Linked DNA regions of Anolis sagrei. Each later gene encodes a partner of the first gene's protein in a complex. Links are inferred from orthologs where the notes say so. Each region holds a gene or a part of one and is shown in the gene's direction. Other genes may lie near its edges. The genes, in order: TFDP1, MYBL2, MYBL1 and LIN54.

Evidence for each region.
Region 2: TFDP1 (region 1) and MYBL2 share a complex: the UniProt entries of both Homo sapiens proteins name them as parts of the DREAM complex. The link is inferred for Anolis sagrei from reciprocal best matches to the Homo sapiens genes TFDP1 and MYBL2.
Region 3: TFDP1 (region 1) and MYBL1 share a complex: the UniProt entries of both Homo sapiens proteins name them as parts of the DREAM complex. The link is inferred for Anolis sagrei from reciprocal best matches to the Homo sapiens genes TFDP1 and MYBL1.
Region 4: TFDP1 (region 1) and LIN54 share a complex: the UniProt entries of both Homo sapiens proteins name them as parts of the DREAM complex. The link is inferred for Anolis sagrei from reciprocal best matches to the Homo sapiens genes TFDP1 and LIN54.

What each region holds. Positions count from the first base shown.
Region 1 is NC_090023.1:108,401,021-108,409,255, reverse strand, and holds the start of TFDP1 (transcription factor Dp-1), read left to right. Parts: upstream 1-4,908; 5' UTR 4,909-5,054; intron 5,055-5,083; exon of another isoform or gene 5,084-5,226; intron 5,227-5,257; exon of another isoform or gene 5,258-5,311; intron 5,312-6,235; exon of another isoform or gene 6,236-6,331; intron 6,332-7,470; 5' UTR 7,471-7,544; coding exon 7,545-7,556; intron 7,557-8,235. UniProt on the Homo sapiens protein: Can stimulate E2F-dependent transcription.
Region 2 is NC_090024.1:212,223,561-212,231,939, forward strand, and holds the start of MYBL2 (myb-related protein B), read left to right. Parts: upstream 1-5,041; 5' UTR 5,042-5,266; coding exon 5,267-5,286; intron 5,287-7,355; coding exon 7,356-7,443; intron 7,444-8,379. UniProt on the Homo sapiens protein: Transcription factor involved in the regulation of cell survival, proliferation, and differentiation. Transactivates the expression of the CLU gene.
Region 3 is NC_090024.1:45,428,511-45,436,041, forward strand, and holds the start of MYBL1 (myb-related protein A), read left to right. Parts: upstream 1-4,160; 5' UTR 4,161-4,380; coding exon 4,381-4,416; intron 4,417-7,531. UniProt on the Homo sapiens protein: Transcription factor that specifically recognizes the sequence 5'-YAAC[GT]G-3'.
Region 4 is NC_090025.1:17,418,919-17,426,194, reverse strand, and holds the start of LIN54 (protein lin-54 homolog), read left to right. Parts: upstream 1-4,074; 5' UTR 4,075-4,407; intron 4,408-7,276. Other genes in the region: COPS4 (COP9 signalosome complex subunit 4), read right to left, coding at 1-63, 445-524, 3,868-3,941. UniProt on the Homo sapiens protein: Component of the DREAM complex, a multiprotein complex that can both act as a transcription activator or repressor depending on the context. In G0 phase, the complex binds to more than 800 promoters and is required for repression of E2F target genes.

The sequences.
Region 1 (8,235 bases):
CTAACCAAAGCAGAATAGAGGAGTAGCATTACTTCCTTAGATCTAGATACTATCCTCCTATTGGTGCAGGCCAAAATCCCATTGGCTTTTTTTGCCGCCACATCACATTGTTGGCTCATGTTTAACTTGTTGTCCATGAAGACTCCAAGATCTTTTTCACACGTACTGCTCTCGAGCCAGGCGTCACCCATTCTGTATCTTTGCATTTCATTTTTTCTGCCAAAGTGGAGTATCTTGCATTTGTCACTGTTGAACTTCATTTTTTTAGTTTTGGCCCATCTCTCTAATCTGTCAAGATCGTTTTGAATCCTGCTCCTGTCCTCTGGACTATTGGCCATCCCTCCCAATTTGGTGTCGTCTGCAAACTTGATGATCCTGCCTTCTAACCCTTCATCTAAGTCATTAATAAAGATGTTGAACAGGACCGGGCCCAGGACGGAACCCTGGGGCACTCCGCTCATCACTTCTTTCCAAGATGAAGAGGAAGCATTAGTGAGCACTCTGCGTTCGTCCACTTAACCAATTACAGATCCACCTCACCGTAGTTTTGCCTAGCCCACATTGGACTAGTTTCCTTGCCAGAAGGTCATGGGGGACCTTGTCGAAGGCCTTACTGAAATCCAGGTACGCTACATCCACGGCATTCCCCGCATCTACCCAGCTTGTAACTCTATCGAAGAAAGAGATCAGATTAGTCTGGCATGACTTGTTTTTGATAAATCCATGTTGACTATTAGCGATGACTGCATTTGTTTCTAAGTGTTTGCAGACCGCTTCCTTAACAATCTTTTCCAGAATCTTGCCCGGTATCGACGTGAGGCTGACCGGACGGTAGTTGTTTGGGTCATCCTTTTTTCCCTTCTTGAAGATTGGGACCACATTGGCCCTCCACCAATCTGCTGGAACTTCTCCCATTCTCCAAGAACTCTCAAAGATGGTTGTCAATGGTTCCGAAATGACTTCTGCTAGTTCCTTCAATACTCTGGGGTGTAGTTGATCTGGCCCTGGGGACTTGAACTCATTAAGAGTGGCCAGGTATTTCTGGACGACTTCTTTCCCAATTTGGGGTTGGATGTCCTCCAATCCCTCATCCACTCCATCTTGCTGAGGTTGAAGACTCTCTTTTTGTGAGAAGACCGCGGCAAAGAAGGTATTAAATAGTTCTGCCTTTTCCCTATCCCCTGTCAGCATTGCCCCATCTTCTCCTCGAAGAGGTCCTATCACCTCCTTGTTTTTCCTTTTTATTGTTTTTAATGTCCCTGGCAAGTCTGAGCTCGTTTTTTGCTTTAGCCTTGCGGACCTTTTCCCTACAGGTGTTGGCTATTTGTTTGAATTCTTCTTTGGTGATTTCTCCCTTTTTCCACTTCTTGTGCATGTCTCTTTTGTGTCTTAGCACAGTTAGAAGTTCTTTGGACATCTATTCTGGCTTCTTTGCACTTGTCCTATTTTTTCTCTTTGTTGGCACGGTTTGCAATTGCGCCTTGAGTATTTCACTCTTGAGAAATTCCCATCCATCCGTAACTCCCTTGTCTTTTAGTATCTGTGTCCACGGAATGCTGCTCAGCGTTTCCTTCATTTTTTGGAAATCAGCTCTCCTAAAGTCCAAAATGCGGGTTTGACTTGTCTTAGTTTCGGCCTTCCTTTGTACCTCAAATTGCAGGAGCACATGGTCACTTGCCCCTAAGGATCCTACCACTTCGACCGCATCGATCAGGTCCTCCGCATTTGTTAGGATGAGATCAAGAGTAGCCAATCCCCTTGTTGCCTCTTCTACCTTCTGGACCATGAAATTGTCTGCAAGGCAAGCGAGGAATTTGTTGGACCTTGTACTCTTGGCTGAGTTTGTTTTCCAGCAAATATCGGGATAGTTGAAATCGCCCATGGCTACTACATCTCTTCTCTGTGCCTGTTTGGTCAACTGTTGGCAGAAGACTTCATCAAGTTCTTCCTCCTGGCTTGGGGGTCTGTAGTAGACGCCTACAACGACATCTTTTTGAGTCCCAGTTCCCTTGATTCTTATCCAGATGATTTCAAGCTGGTTTCCCAGATTGCTGTCTTGAATCTTCTGCAGCATAAGAGTTTTTGACATATAAGGCTACTCCGCCTCCTCTCCCCTTCATTCGGTTTCTGTGAAAGAGGTTAAACCCCTCGATATCTACATTCCAGCTATAGGAGTCATCCCACCAGGTTTCAGTGATCCCTATGATATCATATTTGTGGTGTTGTGCTAAACGTTGGAGTTTGTCTTGTTTATTTCCCATGCTCTGTGCATTAGTGTAAAGACATGTGAGCCCCTGAGATCTTCCCTTGAGCTGTTTAATTGGGATTATTGTGCTTTTGGTACTTGGTCCTTGTTGTGTTTGTGCAGCCCTCCGTTTAGCCTTCTGGCGATTCCCAGACATTATGGGTAAAGTAGTGTTCGCAAGTGGCTTCTGGTGTGAGCCCCCGGTGGCACAGTGGGTTAAACCCCTGTGCCGGCAGAACTGAAGATAGCAGGTTTGAATCCGGGGAGAGGCGGATGAGCTCCCTCTATCAGCTCCAGCTCCTCATGCGGGGACATGAGGGAAGCCTCCCACAAGGATGATAAAACATCAAATCATCCGGGCGTCCCCTGGGCAACGTCCTTGCAGACGGCCAATTCTCTCACACCAGAAGCGATAAGCCAAGGTGACCATGTTGGGATTCATACATTGGGTACATGAGAAGACATGACTCAGTAGAAAAGATAATCATGCTTGGTAAGGTAAAAGGCAGCAGGAAAAAAGGAAGACTGCGTTACAGGTGGACAGATTCAATGAAGATGTTTATGTAAGATTTGAGTAGGGCCCTTGATGGTCAGAGATGTGGATGTGTCCCATTTATGAAGCTGCCATAACTCAAACTTGACTTGATGGCAGTTAACAAGAAATGATTTAAGGGTTTGCATTATTTTCAACTTCTAATACGGTAAGTAAAGTTATATGCCTGCTTAAACAAATGAATTAATAAAACAATATATTTAAGCCGATTAAGAATTAAAGCAGGTGAACCTTTCCAACATTCAACCAAACTGTAGAGGTTTGTTATTCAAGTAGAAGGGTAAGAATGTTATTTTAGGTACCAAGGAATCCAAAAGCATTGATCCCCTGCATGACATCATAGCCTACCAGTTATGCTTGCAATAGCCTCTTTAATGGCTTTATTGGATTTAAATATGCTTTTTAATAGTTCTTTATTTTAATGTTTATGTGCTTTTGGCATTAGTCTGCATTTTGTTTGTTATTTTTTTAGTGTTTGCTGCTTTGAGTTTCCTTGGAGGGAAAAAAGCAGGACTTAAATACTTATTATTTTTATTGAGGTTGCCTGGCCCTAGGTGCCTGTTTTTTTCCATGTACTAAATATTGATTCCTGCATAGCATGCTTTTTTTTTTTTCAAATTACAGCCCTGCCCCCACATCTGCAGGTACTTTATTTGCAGATTTGATTTAAACCTCGCTAGGATTTTCTAGGTCAGGCATGGGCAAACTTTGGCCCTCCAGGTGTTTTGGACGTCAACTCCCACAATTCCTAACAGCCTACCGGCTGGGTTGCCATGAGTTTTCTGGGCTGTATATGGCCATGTTCCAGAAGCATTCTCTGCTGCATCTATAGCAGGCATCCTCAGAGGTTGTGAGATCTGTTGGGAACTATGCAAGTGAGGTTTATATATCTGTGGAACGTCTAGAGTGGGGAAAAAACTCTTGTCTGCTTGAGGCAGGTGTGAATGTTGCAATTGGCCACTTTGATTAGCACCGAAAGTCCTTGCAGCTTCAAAGCCCGGCTGGTTGCTGCCTGGGGGAATCCTTTGTTGGCAGGTGTTAGCTGGCCCTGATTGATTGTGCCGGCTATTAGGAATTGTGGGAGTTGGAAGTCCAAAACACCTGGAGGGGTGAAGTTTGCCATGCCTGTTCTAGGTCCTCCAGTTCGAGTTTATGATCATCATTCGCAAGACATCTGGCCATACAGCCACGTGGGAAGACCGTGGGTGCATACACACTGTAGTATTAATGCGGTTTGACACCACTTTTAATTGCTATGCCCCAATGCCATGGAAACATGGTGATGGGGCATGCACTTTGCATGTTCTGCGACTTACAGTCCTATATAGCGTTTATAAAATCTTATAAACTACATCTCCTTCAATGGGAGCGGTAGTTTCACAAGGTCTTCTGGCTTCAGAGAAGGCTGAGGAGACATGAGAATATGAGAGGAAGTCATAGGGAGGAGAAATATGTCCAGAGGGCGACTAAAATGGTCAAGGGTCTGGAGAACAAGCCCTATGAGGAGCGGCTTAAGGAGCTGGGCATGTTTAGCCTGAAGAGAAGGCTGAGAGGAGACATGATAGCCATGTATAAATATGTGAGAGGAAGCCACAGGGAGGAGGGAGCAAGCTTGTTTTCTGCTTCCCTGGAGACTAGGACGCGGAACAATGGCTTCAAACTACAAGAAAGGAGATTCCATCTGGACATGAAGAATTTCCTGACTGTGAGAGCTGTTCATCAGTGGAACTCTCTGCCCCGGAGTGTGGAGGCTCCTTCTTTGGAGGCTTTTAAGCAGAGGCTGGATGGCCGTCTGTCGGGGCTGCTTTGAATGCGATTCTCCTGCTTCTTAGCAGGGGATTGGACTGGATGCCCCACGAGGTCTCTTCCAACTTCAGTATTCTATGATTCCCTGGTTCAAAGAGCGCCGGCGCCTCGCCAAAACTCCAGCTCCCCGGATGACAGGCCTTGAGTCTCGCGAGGGCGGCGCGCGGCGCGAGGCCCCACTGCCACCCTCGAGAGCCAGCTGGCTCTCGCGCTCTTTCTTGGCCTTCCCGCGCGCGCACTTCCCCGGGAGAAAGGGAGGCGTGGTGGAATCCCGAAGGCGCGAAAACTTTGCGCATGCGCTTCCCCTCCCTCCTAAACGTATGGCGCTGAAGGGATGGAAGCAGAAGGAGAGAGGGAGGGAACTTTAATCTCCCCGCGTGTGGCTATGTGGGGCACGTTCCACTCCGTGACGTCAGCGCGCAGCGTCACGCCGGAGGGACGCACGAAAGTGTAAGTTTCAATTCTCCCCCCCCCTCTTTCTCCCGTCTTCCTGCCAACTGCCAAAAAAAAAAAAGGAAAGGCAGTAACGGCAGCGGGGTCGCGCGCAGGAAAAGGGGAGGGCGCGCGCGCTGCCCAGAAGCCCTCCCTTCATGGAGGAGGAGGAGGAGGGAGCGGGAAACAGGTGTGAAAACAGGGGGAGGGGGAGGAGGGAGGGGGCAGGGCGAAGAGAAGGAGGAGGAGGAAGAGGAGCCAAGGTGGTGCTGGTGGTGAGGAGGCGCTGGGCTTTGGCGGGGGATGATGGCGCTTGTGGGAAGAGGGAGGCCTGCCTCGCGTGTTTGTGGGGGTCCCTTCTCTGCCCCCCCCCCTCCCCACCAACTTCAGGAACTGTTATGAGGCAGCACTGTGCTTTGTATTATCATGGCTTGAATCACTGGGTTGCTGTAAGTTTTGTGGGCTGTATGGCCATGTTCCAGAAGCATTCTCTCCTGACGTTTCGCCTGCATCTATAGATGCAGGCGAAACGTCAGGAGAGAATGCTTCTGGAACATGGCCATACAGCCCAGAAAACCTACAGCAACCCAGCACTGTGCTTGTATCTCAGGGAACCAATGCAGACCTGGACAGCATGAAGGACCTGCCAATTTTGAGTGGAGGGACTGATTCCCTTGTAGCCCCATCCTCTCCCCCTGAATGAAGACTTGCAAGCTGTGGCAGGAGGCATATGCAAGGGAGTCCACACTTTGATCCAAGTCAACACTTTCACCCTCCCCCTAAATGCACCCCTTCCTTGGCTTTCCTTTCCTGACCACTTTTTGGAGTTCCTTCTGGGGAAAAAAACAGGCGCAAAAGATCAGGGTTACTTTTTTCTGTGTTTTTGAGATATATTTTTTCTCCTAATGGTTGGCCCGCCTTTTCTTATCAGGGCCAGTGCAATTGCTACGGTGGCAGAGGCCTCCCTCCTTGCCTGCCTGCCTGCCTGCCTGCCTGCCTGCCTGCCTTCCTTCCTTCCTTCCTTCCTTCCTTCCTTCCTTCCTTCCTTCCTTCCTTCCTTCCTTCCCTCTTCCTCCTAATTTCTCCCCCTCTTTGCCACTTTGTCTTGTGTGCAAATGGTGGTGTTGCTGCTGCTTCCCTGATCATCTTCCTCCCCACAGCCCGCCCCCCGAGGGGGTTTTGAGGAGGGCCGTGCATTGCACATGTGCAGTTGGCATCTCTGGCTCTCTCTCTCTCTCTTCCCCTGCGTTGGGGGATGGAGTTTGCTCTCGGATTCTCCTCTTCTGGTTCTTCAGGTACTCTTTTGGGAAAGAGGCAGAAGGGGGCAGCCAGGTGGGGGGAAAGCCTTTGAGGCAGGAAGAAAACAGCTTCCTCCTTCCCCTTTTCTCTCTTTCTTCTTCCCCCACCGCCTTGCCTTCCCTTCCCCCTTCCCTTCAGTGGGGGTGAGCTTGGTGCATGGGTGGCCCTCCTTCTCCCTGCCTGTCTGCCCCTCTCTCTCTTTCAGTTGTACTGCTGGGCTAGACTTCTAGGGCTCTCCCTCCCTCTCTTTCTGAGGCCCGGGGGGAGGCTGGCAGGGCTTGTTCTCTGAAGCACAGATGCTGCAGCCTGCCTGCCTTTTTGCACAGGGAACTGGGAGCACTAGCTTCCCTCCCTTTTCCCTTACGCCATATCATCGAAGGGACTGGACTGGGCCTTGCTTGCATGTTGGAGGTTGGGTTTTGTTTTGAGCTGGCAAAGAGTGCTGCTAAAGGGAGTTGGGCCCCTGAGGCCTAGCAACTAGGTTGTGAATGGTCAGGCACATAGCTTAGTCTTCCCCTCCTTGCCCACTTCAGGGCAGGCCAGGTCTGTTTGTGCATGAAGTATAATTGTGCTTCTCAAGGGGGTCTAATGCAGAGCTGGACATGACTTAGGCCTCCATCTACACTGCACATTTAATCCAATTTCAAATAGGTGTTGAAAAAAGTGATTACAGAAGAAATCCAGGAACTAGCTTGAGGCCTGGATGGTGAGGACACAAACCACAGAGCACTGATATGCATTGAGGGTTTGCTTTTGCATGCTTTTGTGTGAGTTTGAACTTCATTAAATGGTTAGTGTAGACGGGGCCTATGCTGCATCTGCACTAAGCTTCCTCTTGCCCACTTCAGCGTGGGACATGCGTGAGCCATAATGTAGAGCTGGACAGGTTTAATCTCCCTCACCACCCAAAAAGGAGGAAATCCTCTTCTGTCAGTTTGAGTTGTATTATGTTCTCAAAAGAAAGATGCAATATTCTTTTTTAAAAAAACAGAGCTTGTCAAAAATCTGAAGGTTTCAAGCTTTTACTTTAAGCCTGCACTTTGAACTCTTTGGCAGAAAAACCTAATTTTAATTATTTCAACTCTAAATTGATTTTCAGTATGCTAGCTTAATTTTTTTTCTTTTCTTCTTTCAGAATATAGAACTGCTTCTTCTGTTTATCCTGTGGCAACAACGCAAGTAAAGAATTGATTTCTTGGACTTGATAACATGGCAAAAGATGTAAGTATGTCTGTTTATAATGATCCTACAAACCCACATGTTAACACAAGGACTAACAAATAATAGGAATTCACTTTGATCCTATAGATGTGCATTGAATCAACAGTAAGTATTCAATAAAGTAGTTGTAGCCTTGAATCTTGCAGTGACATCTCCAGGGTTTAATAATACGGGTCTGTTCTGTGCTACACAACTAGTCATAGGTGTCAAAGAGATTCCTAGAACATATGGCAGTACTACTCTTACCTTGACTAAAATTACTTTATTATATCATGTATAACAGGTTGTAATCTCTACTAGCGCAACATCTCTGGGAATATATTGCTGTGTATTAGTAGTGGTATTAATTGACATTATTTGGCAGTGGTGGCATTATTTCACATAACAGCATCAATTCGTGCTGTACTGGGTTAAAATGAAGCAGCAGCAGAATGGCACAGCTCGCAATATCTTCCTTTTAGTTAAAATTTATTCTGAAGTGAGGTCTGGAGCCATTTTGTCTACCAAAATCCGTTTTTTAAAAATCTGCCAACAGCTCTATCTACTTCAGCAAAAGTGGATTAATGAAATAAATGCTTCTATTTCGCAATCGAAGGAAAGCTGAGTCTACCCTTTAGAATGGTAGCTGAATACTCCCTTGGACAGTAAACTTGCTTTGATTTATTTTCATACTTGTATT
Region 2 (8,379 bases), on another chromosome or scaffold:
ATCAATAGGTACCGCTTTGGCGGGAAGGTAACAGTGCTCCATGCAGTCATGCCAGCCACATGACCTTGGAGGCATCTACAGACAACACTGGCTCTTCAGCTCAGAAATGGAGATGAGCACCATCACTCTGAGTTGGACACCACTAGACTTAATGTCAAGGGGAGGCCTTTACCTTTACAATATAGGAAAAGAAATATGTCTGGGGGCCCTTCCACACAGCCCTATATCTCAGACTATCAAGTTAGAAAATCCCACAATATCTGATTTGAACTGGTTTATCTGAGTCCACACTGCCATAAATTCCAGTTCAAAGCAGAAAATGTGGGACTTTATTCAGCTGTGTGGAAGTAGCCTTAGAAGGAAGAAATACAGAAATATTTCTTAGTTTATGAAGCACAACAGTGCCATCTAAAGGCACAGGCTATGAATACCAAATTCTGACAAACTATGGCATTGTTCTGACTTGTCTTCCTATGACACCTGTCTTCTTGTACAGAATATTGGATGAATGGCACATTGGCTGCTGGAATGTACCAATTCTGTACTCGGTACCAAAACATATTAATGCAATTTTTAAACTCTCCTATTCTGTTTTAAACTTCTAGAAATTACAGCATTACTACTTTATGTTTATATCAGAGACTGGGAAAGGCATATTTATTTGGAATGAACAAATGAGTTCATTTAAATCGCAAAACATTTCTGTAATGGAGCAAAGTGGGTTCTTCATTGGCGAGTTCCTGAATATGCTTCTATGCAGGGCTTTGAAAGGTTACTTTTTAGAGTACAACTGAGCTGCAATACAAAAAAGTAGCTTTCCCAAGCCCTTATTGTCTGTATTGGAATACTGTGATGTTGTCCCCGTCCCCCCCCCCCCCCGAAGCAAAATACTGTTCATGATATGTGTGGTTTCTTGCTTATAGATAAATATTCCCTTTATGTATGTAAAGTTAAGTTGATTACCATTTGAGGAAGAATATCTACTTTACCTGGAGGTGTAAACTTTTCTTTGGATGTCAGGAAGTCACCTAACAAGTTATCTTCTACAGGAATGCATGGCTTTGATGGGATTAACTGCAATATTTCAACAGTCCTGTTGCACTTTAGAGAGGACTGGAATGTCTTATTCAACATAATATTTTACAGACTCCTCAACCCATCTGGTTGTATCTATTAAACCTGCCAGAAACTTATGATAAATAAAATGTGTTATTCTCCCAAGTGTTACAAGATTCCTTGTTGGCCCCTTCCAAACCCCACATTTTCTGCTTTGAACTGGAATATATGGCAGTTTGGACTCAGATAACCCCGTTCAAAGCAGATATTGTGGGATTTTCTGCCTTGATATTCTGGGCTATATGGCTGTGTGGAATGGCCATATAGAATATTGAAGTAAAGAATTACAATTAAATCACATGTGGCACTGGGAACAAATTTATTCTCTCTTTCCCTTTGAGCTAGAGAAGGTGACGTTTTAAATTGGCAGACTGTTATGCAGGAGAATGGGTGGGGAAGAGTTGCCACCGTGGCCAAAGGAAATTCAAATGCAAAAGGCATGTTGATGTCATCTTAACAGTAGTATTGTTGATTGACAGGAGGTTGATTAACACATACAGCAATAAGCCCTTTGTTACAGTTTGAGTCACAGGAGAACTTCCTGATGAATTCTTATTCAGCTGTGTCAATTTTCCTCTGTTCGTCGTATTCAAGAATGATCACCATGTGTTTGATGTAATGATGGTTTGCTGGGATTAATACATGTTCATACAGCAAATTGAGATTCTTATCACTACACTGTGATAATGTCATGGGATTAATGGTGGAATAATTGTGTGTGTATGTGTAATGTCAAAAGCAAATTGAGAATACAGTTATAATTCACAAAAAACCACAAAGTTAAAAACTTGGCATTATACTAAATTTCTTTTGAACAGAAGCTGGCCACTTGCAGTGCCTCTAGTGTCACTGTAAGAGGGTCGTCCATTGTGTAGGGCTGTTTTCCACCCTTGCATTTCATGGATTCCACTTTGAAGCCCCATTTCTTAAGATTGGCTCTGCGTCTTGTGGTGCCAGAGCGCAGTCTGTTCAGATTGAGGGTCCAGGTTTTAACTTGCCACTTTTGGACTCTTGCTTGCTGAGGTGTTCCTGCAAATATCTCTGTAGATCTTAGGAGGCTATTTCTTGATTTAGGGCATTGGCTTGCTGGTTGATATCCGAACAGAAGACACATTTGAGCATCCCCTGAGCAATATCTTGGTAGATGGTCAATTCTCTCACGCCAGAAGCAACTTGCAGTATGCAATTATTATTATTACACCACTGTAAATGCCATAGCAACATTGTTTGCATTTTGTAATTAGTGAGGCCCAAAAATTCTCTGACAAAGAATTCTCTCTAGGTTCCATACAGTGTTGAAAAGCAAAGAAAAATGGGTTCCCTTGGAATTAAAAAGGTCAGTATCCACTAATTGCAGTGATGCAAATGTATCTAAACACACAGAAGCTCAATGTATACATGCAAATACAAATGTCAGTAAAACATAGGATTGTTGCATTCACATTTAACAATAAATAATTTGTTCTTTTCTCGAAAAATTAAAAAATTCTTCTTCATGTGTGGAAATAGTACTTGACTCTTTACTACAGACGAGTAAACTCCAAATCCTTGCACAGTAAAGATGCTTGCCACAGATGCAGGTGAAATGTCAGGAGAGAATGCTTCTAGAACATGGCCATACAGCCCAAAAAACTTACAACAACCCAAATGTCCTATTTTCTTTATTACATAACATTCAACCGGTTTTGACTCACAGGAGTCTTCATCAGATAGTTGGGTCCTTAAACAATGCACGTTATTAATACACACAGCGTCATTTAAGGTAAAGTGACTTTTGAATAATGTATATTAAGATAAGACTTGTGTGGCAAAAGTTTGTTAATTGAATGGATGTATCAATGGAAAACTTAATATTACTATTTCAGATGTCAGATATTTGGCTATTTCTTCTCTCCCCCCCCCCCCCCTTCCCAAGATGGGTTTGTAAACCCGGTGTAACAATACAAGAGGGCATTGCCAGGAAATGAAGGTACATCCTATGCAGAAGATGCATTGTTGTATAAAAGAATCATCATATTGTGGATGATATTAAGTCCAGCAATAGTGTTGGTTCCGGGAGATACTGGACATAGTAGAGTCATGGTGGCTAAAGTGGACTCTACCAACGAAGATCTGCTTTTTGTATTGTTTCCTTGGGGGCATCTGCACGGTAGAATTAATGCAGTTTGGTATCACTTTAACTGGAGCCCCCGGTAGCACAGTGCGTTAAACCACTGAGCTGCTAAACTTGTTGACCGAAAGGTCGCAGGTTTGAATCTGGGGAGTGGGGTGAGCTCCCACTGTCAGCCCCAGCTTCTGCCAACCTAGCAATTTGAAAACATCCAAATGTGAGTAGATCAATAGGAACCGATCCAGTGGGAAGGTAACAGCGCTCCATGCAATCATGCTGGCCATGACCTTGGAGGTGTCTACAGACAATGCCGGCTCTTTGGCTTAGAAAAAGCACCAACCCCCAGAGCCGGACACGACTGGACTTAATATGAGGAGAAACCTTTACCTTTTTACTAGGTTGACAGAAGCTGGGGCTAACAGCGGGAGCTCACCCATCTCTGGATTTGAACCACCGCCTTCCAATCAGCAATTTCTGCAGCTTAGTGGTTTAACCCACTGCACCATTACGGCCCCTCGAAAGAACAATACACTATTTAAAATAATGAATAATTTTAACCAACATAAACTTGCCAGTATTTCAATGGGAAGTGTAGGCCTGCCTTTGGCTGATGAGACTCACGTTAATGAGGATTGTTGTTGTGAGCAAGTCATTTCAGACTTTATTGTTGTATTTTGTGGTACAGCAGGTTAAACTGCTGAGCTGCTCAACTTGCTGACTGAAAGGTTGGCGGATTGAATCCTAGGAGCGGGGTGCGCTCCTGCTGTTAGGCCCAGCTTCTGCCAACCTAGCAGTTCAAAAACATGCAAATGTTATTAGATCAATAGGTACCCCTTTGGATGTTTTTATGTTGAATGTTCTTATATTGAATGTTTTTATGTTGAATGTTTTTATATTGTATATAAGCTATTTTGCCCTATTTTGCCCTTGCCGACCAAGGGCAAGATGGATGGACAGCATCCTTGAAGTGACTGGACTGACCTTGAAGGACCTGGGGGTGGTGACGGCCGACAGGGAGCTCTGGCGTGGGCTGGGCCATGAGGTCACGAAGAGTCGGAGGCGACTGAACGAATGAACAACAAATAAGCTATTTTAAATTATAAGTCACTTGGAGCATTTTGGTGGAAAGCGACTAATTAAGAAATAAAGTGATGATGATGATGATTTGGTGGGAAGGTTAACAGCGCTCTATGCAGTCATGCCGGCCACATGACCTTAGAGGTGTCTACGGTCAATGCCGGCTCTTCAGCTTAGAAATGGAGATGAGCACCAAACCCCAGAGTCAGACACGACTGGCCTAAATGTCAGGGGGAAACCTTTTCCTTTATCTCTTACCACTTTAACTGCCATAGCTCAATTCCATGACATTCTGAAAGATGCAGTTTTACAAGGTCTGCCAGTTGCTGGTGCCACACCAAGCTACAAATCCCAGGATTCCACAGCATTGAGCCAAGGTCGTTAAAGAGGTATCAAACTGCATCAATTCTACAGTGTAGATGAACTCTATGTGGGAGTTTTTTTAAAAAAAGAAGGAATGAAAGAAGTTAGTTAATTAAAAATTTACAAAAGAGGAACCCACAGTGCTCATCTGATTATATTGATCGCTACTAGCTTGGGATGATGCACAGCTGGAAGGATCTGCTGACTTGAGCCTCTTAAACCAGAAGCTTCCCAACTTTGCCCGCGCGCGCCACTTTGGCCCCGCTTCTTTCCACCCCAGGTCCAATAGATTTTCGTTTCTCGTCCGCCGCGCGCACGGGACGTCACCACGCCGGAAGAAAGTGGTTGGCTGGCTGGCAGCCGGGGGCGGGGTTGGCGCGAGATAGGAAAAAATTGCTGCTCTGGAGACCCGGGCGGGCGCGAGCCATCCGCGCGCGCTAATCCTGGGCTCCCCTTTCCTTCCTTGCAATGGTGGCCAGCACTGTTGCTCTTGCTGCTGCTGCTGCTATAACCTCATCCACCTCTTCTTCTTCTTTGGGATCGTTATTTTAATTTATATTCTTGCCTAATTGTTTTTTTTTAAATCTAGAACAGAACAGGATGTCCCGCAAGGTTGGCTGGTGAGTTTTGCATTGGGGTTAAAATGATATTGCCTTAAATACTATAAATTTGATTAAGAGGGAAATAAGTGTGTGTGTGTGTGTGGGGGGGGGGGGTATTTCCTGGCCATTTCCCCAAAAGGTAATTTCTCTCATAGCAAAGAGAGATGTATCCCCCACAATAGTGGAAGTGATCCTATGGTTTCCATGGATGACTTAATTTGAAAGCGAGGTTGCTCTATTTTATTTTAATTTGGGTGCAATATTTTAAGGGGTGCTCCAGATGGCCCGCGTGAATTTCCAAGGCGGGAGAGGAACTCAATTCTCTTTGCGCCAAAAAAGGAAGGGGAAAGGAAGGTCCTCCCTGATCGATTTATTTTAAAGGGCTTGGGTTTTTATCTAGATCGATTTGGTAACTATTATTTCAGTGTGAAATCTTTAGATTACTTAAGCCCCTTCCATACAGCCCTATATCCCAGAATATCAAGGCAGAAAATCCCACAATACCTGCTTTGAACTGGGTTATCTGTGTCCACACTCAGATAATGTGGGATTTTCTGCCTTGATATTCTGGGATTTAGGCCCCTTCCACACAGCTGAATAAAATCCCACATTTTCTGCTTTAAACTGGAATATATGGCAGTGTGGACTCAGATAACCCAGTTTAAAGCAGATACTGTGGGATATTTTTTGCCTTGATATTCTGGGCTATATGGCTATATGGAAGGGCTCTTTCTCTTCCCTTCCCCCAGCACACCTGAATGGAGGAAATGGCAATGCATTTCCAATCACTGAAAAGGAAGTATGCATTTACATTGTAAAATTAATGTACTTTAACTCTTAGTTGCCATGCTGTAGAACCACAGAATTTGTAGTTTGCTGGAGCACCAGCTCTCTTTGTCAGAGAAGGCTAAAAACCTGGTAAAACTACAACTCACATGGTTTCATAGCATTGAACCATGGCAGTTAAAGCAGTATCAGACTGCATCAAATTTAGTATAAATGCACCCCGTGTCTTGTAACAAATACAAACTTCAGATTCCTTGGAGGTCATGAGAAAGTTATTGAAAGAAAGCAATTAAAAGAATCCACGAGCATGTGGACAATTGCAACGGGAAGGAGGAAACTATGAAAATGAACAAAATATGGCTACCATTCTTTCAAAAACTCTAAAATCAGGTCAGTAAATAAAGAGGATTGCAAGAAACAGGAGAATTCCTGTCATGAAACAATCATGACTAGATAACACCTCCCAACAAAGGATTCCCCCAGGCAGCAATCGCCCAGGCTTTGAAGCTGCAAAGTCATTTAAATGCTAATCAAGGTGGCCAATTTCAACATTCACACTTGCCTCCAACAGACAAGAGTTCTTTCTTCCTCCCTGGACATTCCTTCTTTACTTAGGCAATCTCTCGGGGGCCAAGGATGATGGTCCTCCAAGTCTGGTGGGTTCGTAGGTGGCTGTTCTGCATGTTCTCTCCCAGTGAGGACATTGGTTTCCAGGTGGAAGGACGTTTCTTAGCACGTTTCTCCCTTTTGCCCTCCATTTGTGCCTCTTCGAATTCCACAGCACTGCTGGTCACAGAAGGGTTGGCTTGCGGATCATCCAGTTGATTCAGTGGGTCTGTTAATTTGATTTATCTATATGGGCCTAAATCCAATTAACAGACCCACATAGTCAACTGGATGATCTGTAAGCCAATCCTTCTGCAAATCCTTCTAATTCATTATGTCTACTGTGGTTGAGAGTAACATTAGGAAGCACACTTTTCAACAAAATCACTGCTGTTTGCATGGATGGATGCAACTAGCAATATTTTAATAGGTGGGTTGCTGTGAGTTTTCCGGGCTGTATGGCCATGTTCAAGAAGCATTCTCTTCTGATGTTTCACCCACATCCATGGCAGGCATCCTCAGAGGTCATGAGGTCTGTTGGAAGCTAGGCAATTGGAATGTCCAGGCTCTTGAGCACTCTAGCTGGAGGTCAACTAAACCTTTTGCTGAATGAGAAAAGCTTAAATTCTCAACTGATGAACAAGGTAATTCAATATTGTGTTAACAAAGTGTCTCTTCCTTTCTTTTAAAACTAGTGAAGAGCAAGATGAATTGCACAGTCAAGACTCAGATGCTCAGGAACGGCGGGACAACAGGTGCAAAGTCAAATGGTCACGCGAAGAGGTATTGTCCTGTGGGGATTTTGGGGGTTAAGGTATGGAGTGGGATGGGAAACACTCTGGCGACATTCATCAAGAGCTATTATGAGAAGTCCTGACTTGAAAAGCTGGGGCATTTATGGTCCTTCAGAAGTCTCATCTGCCTTGGGCCCCTTCCACACTGCTCCTATATCCCAGGATCAGATCCTGGGATATATAACATTGTAGAAGGGGGCCAGGCCCGTAGCCAGGATTTCGTTTCGGGGGGGGCTGAATTTTTTTTCAGGGGGGGTTTCGGGGGGAGGCTGAGTTTCGGGGGGGGCTGAGTCTGAGTGAAAGAGGGGCTAGCCTAGCAAACCTTTTGTATCGTTACCCCAATACCCCCATGCATATGGGATATATTGAGTATGGTGATCAGATCATGATATGAATAAACATAACAGTTTAAATAATGCACCATTAAGGCTTTTTCGCGAACCACCATGAAAATTTCGGGGGGGGGGGGGGGGCTGAAGCCCCCCGAGCCCCCCCCCCCTGGCTACATGCCTGAAGGGGGCTTAGCAATTGCAGCCAGTATTTTACTTCTGGCAGGAAGGGCACTGTCAAATTTCAATAAATAAAATAGGAATCCTATGGATATCTCCCTTGTCCAGCTATTCAAAGATGCTGCCGTATTGGTCTAGAACAGTGGTTCTCAGCCTGTGGGTCCCCAGGTATTTTGGCCTGCAACTCCCTGAAATCCCATCCCATTTACTAGCTATTCAGATTTCTGGGAGTTGAAGGCCAAAACATCTGGGGACCCGCAGGATGAGAAACCACTGAATTAAAGCAAGGTAGGATATGTATTATCAATCAATGGTCTGGAACATCGGTATACAACGGGATCTTGCAGCACCTTAGCGAATAACTGAAATAATGAAGCTGGTAGCATAAGACTTTTGTAGACTTAAGAGTGCATCTA
Region 3 (7,531 bases), on another chromosome or scaffold:
CAGTTCTAAAAATACAACAATTTAAAAAATAATTTTCTACTTTTTCATGGCACTCCGGACCTGCATAAGACAGCTTCCTCACTGCTTAATTATGGGAGTAGTCTTGTTTTCTGTTTTAAGTCTGGTTTATGTCCAGCTGCTCAGGTGGGTTGGGTAATAGGTGCAGCTCCACACTGACTGTGGAACAGTCCCCTTAAAAAGGGAGTTATGACCTTTGTCATTCAAAATGTGTGAGAGGAGAAAGTGACCTATACAAATTTGCACTCTCGTTGTAAGCAACATTCTGGCTGATTTATTTGATGCATCACATATAAGCAATCTGTTTTGCTGTGGATCATAAGTCTATGCCACAAGAGATCAACTGAACCAAACATCTTCCCTGAAAGCTGTAAACAGAATGATATCCTGCTTGATTTAACTATCGATTCCAGATCAAATAGAAATGAATTCCTAGGTAGACACAAAAACTGGCTACAAATTCAAATCAGCTTTGGAGTTTTGTTATTTCCTCACTACACATTTGATTAGGATTTGCATAGGTTAACAATTTTTCCCCTTTCTATCTGCACGCTCCTTTCAGCTGACCATACTGGAAACTCCTTCATGCTATTTCTGGAACTGGTAACTCATGAGTCTGCGTTAAATGTTCAAAATAGAAATGATCATAATTCATCTGTTATAAGATCCATTAGGGACTGTATAACTCTTCCTTTGAAGGCTTCCATTTTAAATTTATGACGCATTATTCTTTGTGTAAAAGCAACAGAAGAGCAGGGACTCTACAGAACGCTTCCTCTTCTACGTACATTCAAAATATTTTGGGCCCTAAAATTTTCAGTTTTCAATGTTGAACTTACAACATAACAGAATTAAGTAAAGAGCTATCCAATAACCCCAATGCGTGCTGTGTTACAAAGTACATAATATTTTCTTATCTGTTATGAACAGACTGCAATGTGTCTCGCTGCCATTCCCTAGATTGAACACTGCGAAAGCCATCCACTGCATGGCTATCAGCCTCCTCCCAGTAGACTTAAATCAAGGAAAAGCTTCATGAGAACCACCACTCCTCTTAATCTTCCCGCAGCAACAACAAGAGTATCCCTCTGGAAGCTAAACCAAGAATGGGCAACTTTGAAGTCCCTGAACAGACTCCAAAGTAAAATGGGCAGATCAAAAGACAACCTGGCAAAATGGCACTACCTAAAAGAATCCTCCACCTTGTGTTATTGTGGAGCAGAACAAGCAACACTGCATCTGCATGCCTGTCCGCAGTGTCCTGCTTCATGCACAGAGGAAGAATTGTTTGAGGCTATAGACAATATGGTCGTTGTTGCCTGTTTTTGGTGAAAAGATATTTAGCTGCTTGTGCTCCTTCTGTTTTTATCAGTTTTATACTAATTTATGCAATGCTTTTGATACAAAATAAATCAATAAATAACCCACAATATCAAGGCAAATAATCCACAATATGGATTATCTGAGTCCATATTGCCATAGAATCTAGTTCATATTTAGCCACTTGTGCTCCCTCTATTTTTAGAAGTTTTAAACTAATTTATGCAATTTTTTTTGTCATGTCAGGAGCGATTTGAGAAACTGCAAGTCACTTCTGGTGTGAGAGACGTTGCCCAGGGGATGCCTGGATGATGTGATGTTTTTATCATCCTTGTGGGAGGCTTCTGTCATGTCCCCGTATGAGGAGCTGGAGCTGATAGAGGGAGCTCATCTGCCTCTCCCCGAATTCGAACCTGCAACCTGTCGGTCTTCAGTCCGGCCGGCACAGGGGTTTAACCCACTGCGCCACCGGGGGCTCATTTATGCAATGCTTTTGATACAGAATAAATAAATAAATACAATCTCCAGATGTGTCGGTAGCTTGGTTGTTGGAGCTGTGGAAATGAAATGTTAATAGCTCAGTCATGGCATTATCTTATTAACACTCTGTTTTGTGCTGAAAACCAACTTGAATGGTTCAGTATTGAGACAAACGCAGCATTGACCAAACACAAATCAAGGAACATGAAAGGCACTGCAGACTAATTCAACCAGAGAAGTCAGCCATAGCAGAGCACTCGGTGAACCAACCTGGACACAGCATATGTAAGAATACATATGGACTAGGACAATTTTAAATGGTGTATTTTAATATTTTGATGTTTTTAATGTTTATGTATTGCATGTGAATTTGTGTCCCGGCACTGAATGTTTGCCGTGTGTATGCTGTGCTCCGCCCTGAGTCCCCTTTGGGGTGAGAAGGCGGAATTTAAATGTTTTAAATAAAAAAAATAATACAGAAATGCTGGAACACTCTAACAACCACCATATCAGACTACACAGAGAATCCATTGAAATCCACAAGCATTTGGAGAATAGCAACAGAAAGGAGGAAAATATGAAAATGAACAAAATCTGGCTAACAGTATTTAAAAACTCTAAAATCAGGACAGTAAATAAAGAGCAACACTAAAAAAAAACCAGGGGATTTCCAGACAAGAATCAATCAGGGCCAGCTAACACCTCCCAACAAAGGATCCCCCTCAGGCAGCAACCAGCCAGGCTTTGAAGCTGCAACCTCACTTGCCTAGTTTCCAACAGACCTCACAACTTCTGAGGGTGCCTGCCATAGATGTGGGTGAAACGTCAGGAGAGAATGCTTCTGGAATATGGCCACACTGCCCGGAAAACTCACCCTCCCCAATGCCAGAAATACAGCTTAATGGTGTAACATTAGAAGATGTTGACTATTTCTGCTACCTTGGCAGCCACCTCTCCACAAAAGTCAACATTGACACTGAAATACAGCACCGCCTGAGCTCTGCGAGTGCAGCATTTTTCTGAATGAAGCAGAGAGTGTTTGAGGACCGGGACATCCATAGGGAGACCAAGGTGCTTGTTTATAAAGCTATTTTCCTCCTAATCCTGCTATACGCCTGCGAGACATGGACTGTCTACAGACGTCACATGCAACTCCTGGAACGATTCCATCAGAGTTGCCTCCGGAAAATCTGGCAAATCTCTTGGGTAGACAAGCGGACAAATGTCAGCGTGCTGGAAGAAGCAAAGACCACCAGCACTGAAGCGATGGTCCGGTCACGTTTTCCGGATGCCCAACCACCGTCTCCCAAAGCAGTTGCTCTACTCCAAACTCAAGAGCGGAAAACGGAATGTTGATTGAAAGATGGGCTCATTGTGAACCTTAAAAACTTTGGCATAGACACTGAGAACTGGGAAACCTGTGAGCGCTCCAGCTGGAGGTCAGCTGTGACCAGCAGTGCTGTAGAATTTGAAGAGGCACGAATAGAGGTCGAAGACAAGGGATCGCTTAAGTAAAGTAAGTTTAAAAACTATGCCCCAAATGCTGTTTTGAGAATATTAAACTGCATTTAAATATTTAATAAACGTGTGTTCACACTATTAATGTACACATTGAAGAAGAGTGTGTCTGTACTACTAGAATTTCCTACCCAGAATGATTTGGGCCTCTCTTAAGGTAATTGGTTCCATTGATTTAGCCCAGGGATGACAAACTTTGGATTTGTAGGAGTTTTGGACTTCAACTCCCACCATTCCTCACAGCCTCAGGCCCCCCCTTGAGGAAGGGGCCTGAGGCTGTGAGGAATGGTGGGAGTTGGAGTCCAAAACACCTGCAAGGCCCAGGTTTACCTATGCCAGCTTTAGAACAATTCACAGGGCAGCGAAAGTATAGGGCAAAAACACGAGCTCGCACACAGCGTCCCTTCGATAGCTCAGCTGGTAGAGCGGAGGACTGTAGAGGCATTGGCTGCTTGCGGGAATCCTTAGGTCGCTGGTTCGATTCCGGCTCGAAGGAGATTTGAATTTTTTTTTTGGTTGTTCATCCCCCGTCAAATATGGCAATTATTTCATTTTATCCTTAGGTGCAATTATGTTATTTTTCCTATTGGGTTTTGTCTCATTTCCCAAGAGTGAAGGGAGAAAACAAAAAAAGACTACATTTCCCAGCAGGCTTTGCGCCCTTTTCTCTGTCCCGAGCCCGCCGCCACTTTCTCCCCTTCTCCAATATCGCGCACCCTCCCCTCCTCCTCCTCCTCCCTCCCCTAGCCCCGCCCCCTCGGCTGGGTCGCGTGCTCTCGGAGGCAGCCAATGGGGAGGCAGTCCGCGTGCGCAGATTCAAACGGTGGCTCTGGAAAGAGGCTGGGCGCGAGATTCGGCGGCAGGGACGAAAAAGAGAGGCAGCAGCAGCAGCAGCAGCAAAGGAGAAGAGGCCGGAGGAGGAGGACCATGTCCCCCAGGCGAGGCCGGGGCTAAAAGCTGCCTTTCTCCCGCTCTCCTCCTCCCTCTGCCATTCCTTCAGTTCGGCCGGCGGTGACAGCCCCGCTTCCCTCCTCTTTCCGCCTTATGGTGCCCTCAAAGGATGGCGAAGAGGCCGCGAAGGTGAGCCACAACTACTCCTCTCCCCCTCAGGAGGGATTCTTTCTCCATCCTTCCTTCCATCCCTCCATCCACACGCTTTGAATGCCTTGGCTCGAGGGAGTGGTCGTTAGGCGGGACCTCAGCGCTCTTTGGCAGAGAAAGCTTTCAGAGGGCAGGCAGTCCCCGAGTTGCGAACAAGATGGGGTTCTACAGCAGTGGTTCTCAACCTTCCTAAGGCCGCGACCCCTTAATACAGTTCCTCATGTTGTGGTGACCCCCCCCCCCCATTATAAAAAAAATATTGTTGTCGCTACTTCAGAACTACTATTATGAATTGTAATGGGAATATCTGCCTATGAACCCACCAGGACTCTAAGATCTTCTGGGGAGGCCCTGCTCTCGATCCCGCCTGCATCGCAAGCACGGCTGGCGGGGGACGAGGGACAGGGCCTTCTCTGTGGTGGCCCCTCGGCTGTGGAACGCCCTTCCCATGGACATTAGATCAGCCCCTTCGTTAATCGTGTTTCGAAGAAAACTAAAAACCTGGCTGTTTGAACAGGCGTTCAGATAAATAGTGCAATTGAACGATGAATATAGGAACGGATTTATGACGAATTGGATCACGATTTTAGTTACGAGATGCTAATGTGTTGTTATTGATGTGTCATTATTTGTATACTAGGCTGTTAATGGTTTTTAAATATTGTATGTTGTACGATTGACTTTTTTGCTCTTGTTGTGAACCGCGTTGAGTCGCCTACGGGCTGAGAAACTGCGGTATACAAGCAAAGTAAGTAAGTAAATAAATAAATAAATATGCAGGATGTATTCTCATTCACTGGACCAAATTTGGCACAAATACTCAATATGCCTAAATTTGAATACTGGTGGGGTTGGGAAGGGGGATTGATTTTGTCATTTGGGAGTTGTAGTTGTTGGGATTTATAGTCCACTTACAATCAAAGAGCATTCTGGACTCCATCAACAATTGAATTGAACCAATTTTGGCACACAGCCCTCCAATGACCAACAGAAATATATTGGAAGAAACCTTGAGTTTGGGAGTTGTTGTTCACGTACATCAAGAGAGCACTGTGGACTCAAACAATGATAGATCTGGGCCAAACTTGGCATGAATACTCAATATGCCCAAATGTGAACACTAGTGGAGTTTGGGGAAAATAGGCCTTGACATTTGGGAGTTGTAGTTGCTGGGATTTATAGTTCACCTACAATCAAAGAGCATTCTGAACTCCACCAATGATAGAATTGGGCCAAACTTCCCACGCAGAACCCCCATGAACAACAGAAAGTACTGTGGTTTTTGATGGTCTTTGGGGACACCTCTGACACCCCTTTGTGACCCCCCCAGGGGTCCCGACCCCCAGGTTGAGAAACACTGTTATACAGGGTTGTTCTTAAGGTGAATTAGTATGTAAGTCGGAACAGGTACATTTTAAAGCAGGGGTCCTCAAACTTTTTAAACAGAGGGCCAGGTCATAGTCCCTCAAACTGTTGGAGGGCCGGATTATAATTTGAAAAAAATGAATGAATTCCTATAAACACCTCACACATCTTATTTGTAGTACAAAAAAACACTTTAAAACAATGCAATAATTAAAATGATGAACAATTTTAACAAATATAAACTTAAAAGACAAGTTCCACCTTGTTTCCTGTGCTATCCTAATAATATAATATAATATATTGTATATGCATATACTATTTATAATATTATAATGTAATCTATATATATAAAAATGCTCTGTGCATAATGAGTACCTTAAAAACAAAAGAACCAATGAACAAAATCACGCCAAATTTCGCAACAAAAAGTCTCACAGCACAAGGAATGACCATCACTCAAGAAATTATGATTTTGTCATTTGGGAGTTGTAGTTGCTGGGATTTATAGTCCACCTACAATCAAAGAGCATTCTGGACTCTATCAATAATGGAACTGAACCAAACTTGGCTCATAGAACTCCCATGACCAACAGAAAATACTGGAAGGGTTTGGTGGGTATTGACCTTGAGTTTGGGAGTTGTAGTTCACCTATATCCAGAGAGCACTGTGGACTTAAACAATGATGGATCTGGACCAAACTTGGAATGAATACTCAATATGCTCAAATGTGAACACTGGTGAATTTGGGAGAAAATAGACCTTGACATTTGCGAATTGTAGTTGCTGGGATTTATAGTTCACCTACAATCAAAGAGCATTCTGGACTCCACCAACAATGAAACTGAACCAGATTTGGCTCACAGAACTCTCATGACCAACAGAAAATACTGGAAGGGTTTGGTGGGCATTGAGAGTTGTAGTTCACGTACATCAGGAGAGCACTGTGGACCCAAACAGTGATGGATCTGGACCAAACTTGGCAGAAATACTCAATATGCCCAAAATGTGAACACTGGTGGAGTTTGGGGAAAATAGACTATAACATTTGGGAGTTGTAGTTGTTGGGATTTATAGTTCACCTATAATCAAAGAGCATTCTGAACTCCACCAACAATAGAATTGGGCCAAACTTCCCACACAGAACCTCCATGACCAACAGAAAATATTGTGCTTTCTGATAGTCCTTGACGACCCCTCTGACACCCCCTCGCGACCCCTCCAGGGGTCCCGATCCCAAGGTTGAGAAATGCTGTTCTACAGGGTTGTTCTTAAGGTGAATTAGTATGTAAGTCGGAACAGGTACATTTTAAAGTGTGACTCCCTTCAAATGTATGTGTGTGTGTGTATATTTATTTACGACATTTCTATGTCGTAAATCTATATGTCATCTATCTATCTATCTATCTATCTATCTATCTTATATAAATAAAAATGTAATAATAATAATAATAATAATAATAATAATAATAATAAACCTTTATTTATACCCTGAAGGACTCAGTGCGGCTTACAAGAGGCCGAGCCCAAATACATCAGTTAAAAACAGCAACAACAGCAATACAGACAGCAAATAAACTCATAAACAAAGCAATAAACAGTAACAATAACACCACGATGCATTAAAAACCTATGGCAGGGACAAATGTAATACTTAGAATTTTAAAAAATGCTGGGCATGACAAGGTGACATTACTTGGATACGTATTTGGAGAGAGATGGAGCGCGCAG
Region 4 (7,276 bases), on another chromosome or scaffold:
GATGGGTACAAAAGTCTGTCAGCAACTGGCGCGAAATCACTAAACTGACATTTTCATTCACCACTAAATAAGGGACACAATGAGAAATTTTTAAAAAAACATACCTTTAAATCAGGCTTGTCATTTGGACCATAATCATGCTGTTATCAAGACTAAATTATATTTTGTTGATTGCAAACTTAATTTTCAGACAGCCAAACTAAATGAAATGAGCTTTTGTATATTACACCAACAGTGGTACATTGTCAAATTTTCAACTCATTTGTCTCATGTGGTCCAAGTACTCCTGGATTAACAAGAGTAAGCATCATTAGCAATTCCATGACACAAAAACAGGCAAATGAAAAACTGTTTACCTACACACAAACACAAATGCAAGTCCTGCAGTTCGGCATTTATAACTCTGGCATTTAACAACATCTGAAAAACAATGTTGAAACTCACTTGCTTCTACGAAGGCTTTTAATGCCTCTAACTGTTCGACTCCAGAGAGCTGAATTGCTTTTTCCAATATCTGCCGATATCTGCCAGAAAATGTCAAAAATAAATCAGTCACAATTAACAATACTGGCTTATTTTCAGAATGAGTTTTACATTTGGGTGGAATGAGAGTAGTAGTCAATGTAAACAGTCAAAACATAACTTAGGTTTAAGGAATTTGTCCTTAAAAAAAAACACAACAAAGCACAAAACTCTCTTCTGTGCTGATACCTTTACTAGGCCAACGGAAAGGCACAAAGTACATTCCACTTGCTTTCAAAGCTTGACAGAACTCTTTATCAAGCAAAAATGGTGAAACTGTTTATGAGGAAAAGAAAGTGACAGTGCTGTGGCCACCATGTCTATATTTTGGATGTCACACATACTTCCTGTCACATTCAAAACGCAAAGGCCATAACCACAAAACTGTCACCTTATTTCTCACTGTGCTATTTGAATATCTTGATTGTTGATTTTCAGGAGTGTTAAAAACATGACTTGCTGGAAAGAAAATAGTTATTTTTAACACTTTGAAAACCAGTATCTTACTCCTATTTCCTACTGCTCACTGTATAGACAAGGCAGGAGTACAAATGTATCAATAATTTAATCATTAAACAGGGTAAATCAACCAGTAAATTCCATCTGAGATGGAGATTACATCCTAACAACTGTTCAGCTGAGGGGTTAACATTATTATTTTAATATCATTTTGATAATGTTGTTGCTGTCCATTGTATATGTTTTGATTTTATTGCTGTATTATGTTGTCCAGGCTTGCCCCCATGTAAGCCGCTCCGAGTCCCCATCGGGGAGATGGTAGCGGGGTAGAAATAAAGTTTATTATTATTATTATTATTATTATTATTATTATATGTATCCACCACCAAGACACTACAATTGAAAGGCCAAAATACTCGGACAATGAGGGATAACCTAAGTAAGTAAGTAGGATCTGATGCGGAGGAACAACAGCAAAGTGCTATAGGTGACACCATATTTGTGTCCACTGACTGCACCTGTTTATTTCCTAGAAAGTCTCCACAGATCAGATGGTGATGCCTCATGGGAATACTATGTTGGGAATACTATGTTTAGTACCATAGGTTTAATAAAGGGCAAGCGGTGGCATTTGAGAAGGTGACACATACTGATCCTGATGAGTAGAGATGCAACCTCCTTCAGGGTAGGGAATGTAGCTGGGATTTTAATAATAATTGAAGAATAATTGGAATAATTGAAGGACACTGAAAAGCAAGATTTTGCTCAATTTATAAACACGTTCAACTTAGTAATTGTCTTAGAGAAAGCCTTTTGGTTGCAGTGGGAGAAATTGTTTTGAAAGATGGTTTGCTGTACATAAAACTCTCAAGGATAATAGGTTCAAGAGCAAGGAGAAGGGGAAACGATAACACCACATGCAAAGGGCATTAACAGCTGGGGATGTAAAAATAATTAATAGAAGAGAAGGAAAATGTTTGCTTGGCTAAGTGGAGGTAGGATGTTGACAAAATGTGATGAATCCATAGTGAATTAGAGAACCTGGAAGATGAAAAGGGACCCAATAAAGCAGTATTTTTTTTGGAGGGGGTCTCAGTGAGATTGCACACACACATGTTGAGATGTGTGTATGACTGTCTAACTTTTACAGGGTTTGGGTTTTTTCGGGCTATATGGCCATGTTCTAGAGCAGTGTTTCTCAACCTGGGGGTCAGGACCCCTGGGGGGGTTGCGAAGCTGTGTCAGAGGGGTTGCCAAAGACTATCAGAAAACACAGTAATTTCTGTGATCATGGAGGTTCTGTGTGGGAACTTTGGCCCAATTCTATCATTGGTGGGGTTCAGAACGCTCCTTGATTGTAGGTGAACTATAAATCCCAGCAACTACAACTCCCAAGTGTCAAGATTCTATTTCCCCCAAACTCCACCAGTGTTCACATTTCGGCATATTGAGTATTCTTGTAGAGTTTGGTCCAGATCCATCATTGTTTGAGTCCACAGTGATCTTTGGATGTAGGTGAACTACAACTCCAAAACCAAAGGACACTGCCCACCAAACCCTTCCAGTATTTTCTGTTGGTCATGGGAGAACTGCGTGCCAAGTTTGGTTCAATTCCATCGTTGACGGGGTTCGGAATGTACTTTGATTGTAGGTGAACTACAAGTCCCAGCAACTACAACTCCCAAATGACAAAATCAATTTTTTGAATGAAGGACATAAATTGGGTTGTTAGGTGTATCGTGTCCAAATTTGGTGCCAGTTGCCCCAGTGGTTTGTGAGTTCTATGGATAGCACAAACGAACATTACATTTTTATTTATATAGATTATTATTATTCATTCTACAGTGAAGATGGGCAAGGGACGGGCCAGGCCGTGTTTAAACCACTGAATCAATGCCTTCCCTGGGTTGTTGTAGGTTTTTCGGGCTATATGGCGATGGTCTAGAGGCATTCTCTCCTGACGTTTCGCCTGCATCTATGGCAAGCATCCTCAGAGATAGTGAGGTCTGTTGGAACAAGGAAAAAGGGTTTATATATCTGTGGAATGACCAGGGTGGGACAAAGAACTCTTGTCTGCGGGAGCTAAATGTGAATGTTTCAACTGACTACCTTGATTAGCATTTCATGGCCTGACAGTGCCTGGGACAATCTTTTGTTGAGAGGTGATTAGATGTCCTTGTTTGTTTCCTCTCTGTTGTTTAGCCGTTGTAATTTTAGAGTTTTTTTTTAGTACCGGGAGCCAGATTTTGTTCATTTTCATGGTTTCCTCCTTTTTGTTGAAATTGTCCACATGCTTGTGGATTTCAGTGGCTTCTCTGTGTAGTCTGACCTCACTACCTCTGAGGATGGCTGGAATCACTCAGTTGTTGTAGGTTTTTTTGGGGGCTATATGGCCATGTTCTAGAGGCATTATTTCCTGACGTTTTGCCTGCATCTGTGGCAAGCAAATTAAAAACTCTAAAATTAAAACAGCAAAACAGCAGAAGGAAAACAATCAGGGACATCTAATCACCTCTCAACAAAAGATTGCTCCAGGCACTTCCAGGCCATCAAATGCCAATCAAGGTAGTCAGCTGAAACATTCACACCTAGCTGCAACAGACAAGAGTCCTTTGTCCCACCCTGGTCATTCCACAGATATATAAACCCCTTTTTCCTAGTTCCAACAGACCTCACTACCTCTGAGGATGCTTGCCATAGATGCAGGCGAAACATCAGGAGAGAATGCCTCTAGACCATGGCCATATAGCCCGAAAAAACCTACAACAACCCAGTGATTCCGGCCATGAAAGCCTTCGACAATACAATGCCTTCCCTTCCCTTTTTGCGAGCTTCTCCTGCCCCGCTCCGCCTTCCCTCATCGAAAACCAAGAAGCCGTCGCTTACTTCCCGGCTAAATCCTTGTGGGAGCCGCTGGAGCTCATGAGCTGCGTCAACTCCTGCCTCACCGCCGCCGCCATTTTTCTTTTCTACACTTCCGGTGAGGGAAAAATAACCACGCCCCCTCCGTCGCCTCAGAAACCAATGAGGGCGGACTCTGCGTCATTCTCGAGCGCGCGCGCGTACACGCACGCACGCACAGTGACGCTTTCAACCCGGAAGTGGCTGTGTTTTTGGAGAAGGCGGGAGAAGAGTGATGACGCCGAAGCCGTTGCCAAGACGGCGGCGCTGCCGAGCTATTATGGGATGCGGCGGAATGGCGCTGGGCGCGTGATTTTGAACAAACACGGAACCGGGAGAAGGAGAGAAGGGAGAGGAGGAGGAGGAGGAGAGAGCGGAGGCGGGGGAGAGAGGGCTGCGCTTCTGGCCGCGAGGGTTTAACGGCAGCCTGAGGGCGAAGGAAGGCCTGGTGCTCGGAGGAGAAGCCTGACGGGAAACGCGCCCTGGAGTGACAGGTGCCTCATATCAACTGCATTACGGGACAGGGTAAATACACCAGGCCTGGGCCAACTTGGGCCCTCCCTCCCTCCAGGTGTTTTGGACTCCAACTCCCACAATTCCTAACAGTAGGGAAATACACAAGGCCTGGGCCAACTTGGGCCCTCCCTCCAGGTGTTTCAACTCCCACAATTCCTAACAGCCGGTAGGCTGTTAGGAATTGTGGGAGTTGGAGTCCAAAACACCTGGAGGGAGGGCCCAAGTTGGCCCAGGCCTTGTGTATTTACACTGCCGGCTGTTAGGAATTGTGGGAGTTGGAGTCCAAAACACCTGGAAGGAGGAAGGGCCCAAGTTGGCCCAGGCCTAATCCATACTGCACACCGTGTAATTTTTCCCTGTGGACAATCTGTTGTTTTTGCAGGAGCATATCTGACACATCAACTGAAACCATACATTCATTTTGGCATTTAAATAGGACACATGCTTGTTGATAGCTCCAAAACTTGTTAATCACTCCTTGATTGTTGATTGTGGGTGTTATGAGTTTTGACCGGGACAGAGCCCTGTTAAACCCCTGTGCCGGCAGGACTGAAGACCGACAGATTTTTTTTTCCAAATTTTGTTACCTAGTGTAATATGAGATAACCTCTTTATCTGTACTCATTCTATTGATTTCTCCGTGCTACTTCCACTTCCCATAGCATTGGTGCCACATAAACGTGAATTGAGGATTTTAACCCCCCCCCCCCCCCCGTGGCACAGTGGGTTAAACCCTTGTGCCAGCAGGACTGAAGACCAACAGGTCAGAGGTTCAAATCGGGGAAAATGAGGGTGAGCTCCCTCTGTCAGCTCCAGCTCCCTATGCAGGGACATGAGAGAAGCCTCCCACAAGGATGATAAAAACATCAAATCATCTGGGCATCCCCTGGGCAACGTCCTTGCAGACGGCCAATTCTCTCACACCAGAAGCAACTTGCAGTCTCTGAAGTCGCTCCTGACACAACAACAACCAAAAAAAAACCCAGGGACAGAAATTTATTATTTATTAATTATTTATTTATTTCCAGTATTTATGTACCGCCTTTCTCACCCTTGGGGGGACTCGAAGCAGTTTACACATAAATAATGGCAAAATTCAATGCCTTACATTGGGCACCGATACGATGCCAATACAAACAAATAGCATATTTAATGTATTGTCGAAGGCTTTCATGGCTGGAATCACTCAGTTCTTGTGGGTTTTTTCGGGCTATATGGCCATGTTCTAGAGGCATTTCTCCTGATGTTTCGCCTGCATCTATGGCAAGCATCCTCAGAGGTGAGGTCTACTGGAAATGGGAAAAAAGGGGTTTATATATCTGTGGAATGGCCAGGGTGAGACAAAGGGGCTTTTGTAAGTTGGGCTGGGTGTGAATCTTTCCACTGACCACCTTGATTAGCATACAATGGGCTGACAGTGCCTGGAGCAAACTCTTCTTGAAAGGTGATTAGATGTCCCTGCCTGTTTTTCTCCCTGCTGTTTTGCTGTTGCAATTTTAGAATTTTTTAATACTGGTAGCCAGATTTTGTTCATTTTCATGGTTTCTTCCTTTCTGTTGAAATTGTCCACATGTTTGTGGATTTCAATGGCTTCTCTGTGTAGTCTGACATGGTGGTTGTGAGAGTGGTCGAGCATTTTTGTGTTCTCAAATAATATGCTGTATCCAGGTTGGTTCATCAGGTGCTCTGCTATGGCTGACTTCTCTGGTTGGAGTAGTCTGCAGTGCCTTTCGTGTTCCTTGATTCGTGTTTGGGCGCTGCGTTTGGTGGTCCCTATGTAGACTTGTCCACAGCTGCATGGTATATGGTAGACTCCTGCAGAGGTGAGAGGATCCCTCTTGTCCTTTGCTGAACGTAGCATTTGTTTGATTTTCTTGGTGGGTTTGTAGATAGTTTGTATGTTGTGTTTTCTCATCAGCTTCCCTATGCGGTCAGTGGTTCCCTTGATGTATGGCAGGAACACTTTTCCTCTGGGTGGATCTTCATCTTTACCGTACTCTCGTGGCTTGTTCTTGGTCTTGAAGCTCTCCTGATGTCTGAGGTGGAGTATCCATTGGCCTGGAGAGCCCAGTTGAGGTGGTTCAGTTCATCTTGGAGGAGGTGGGGTTCACAGATTCTTTTTGCACTGTCTGTCAAGGCTTTAATGGTGCTTCTTTTTTGACTTGGGTGATGGTTGGAGTTTTTATGTAGATATCTATCTCTGTGTGTGGGTTTTCTGTAAACTGTGTGATCCAATTGTTGATCTGGTTTACGGATGACTAGGACATCTAGAAAAGGCAGTCTTCCTTCCTTTTTCCATAGTGAACTGGATGTTAGCATATTTGCTCCTTGATTGTTGATCATGGGTGTTGTGTGTTTTGACAGAGCCAGAAATAGCATTAAGCAACTGGTGAAACCAAAACAAAGGCTCTGCTATAAAGGGAAGTTTTACAAATCAGCACTAAAGGTTACCATTAGAAATAATATAAGAAGCCCCCCCCCCCAAGTATTTGGCAAGAATCAGATGTGTATTTTTTTGTATCAGGAGCAATTTGAGAAACTGCAAGTTACTTCTGGTGTGAGAGAGTTGGCCGTCTGCAAGGACGTTTCCCAGGGGGATGCCCAGGTGTTTTTGATGTTTTGCCATCCTTGTGGGAGGCTTCTCTCATGTCCCCACATGGGGAGCTGGAGCTGACAGAGGGAGCTCATCTGCGCCCTCCCCGGAATGAGATGACTGTTCAAGAATACAGTCCCAGAATATGCCAACAGAAACATTTCCTTGTATTGTCGAAGGCTTTCATGGCCGGAATTACTGGGTTCTTGTAGTTTTTTTCGGGCTATATGGCCATGTTCTAGAGAAATTCTAACATTTCCAAAACATGCTACGTACTAAGAACTG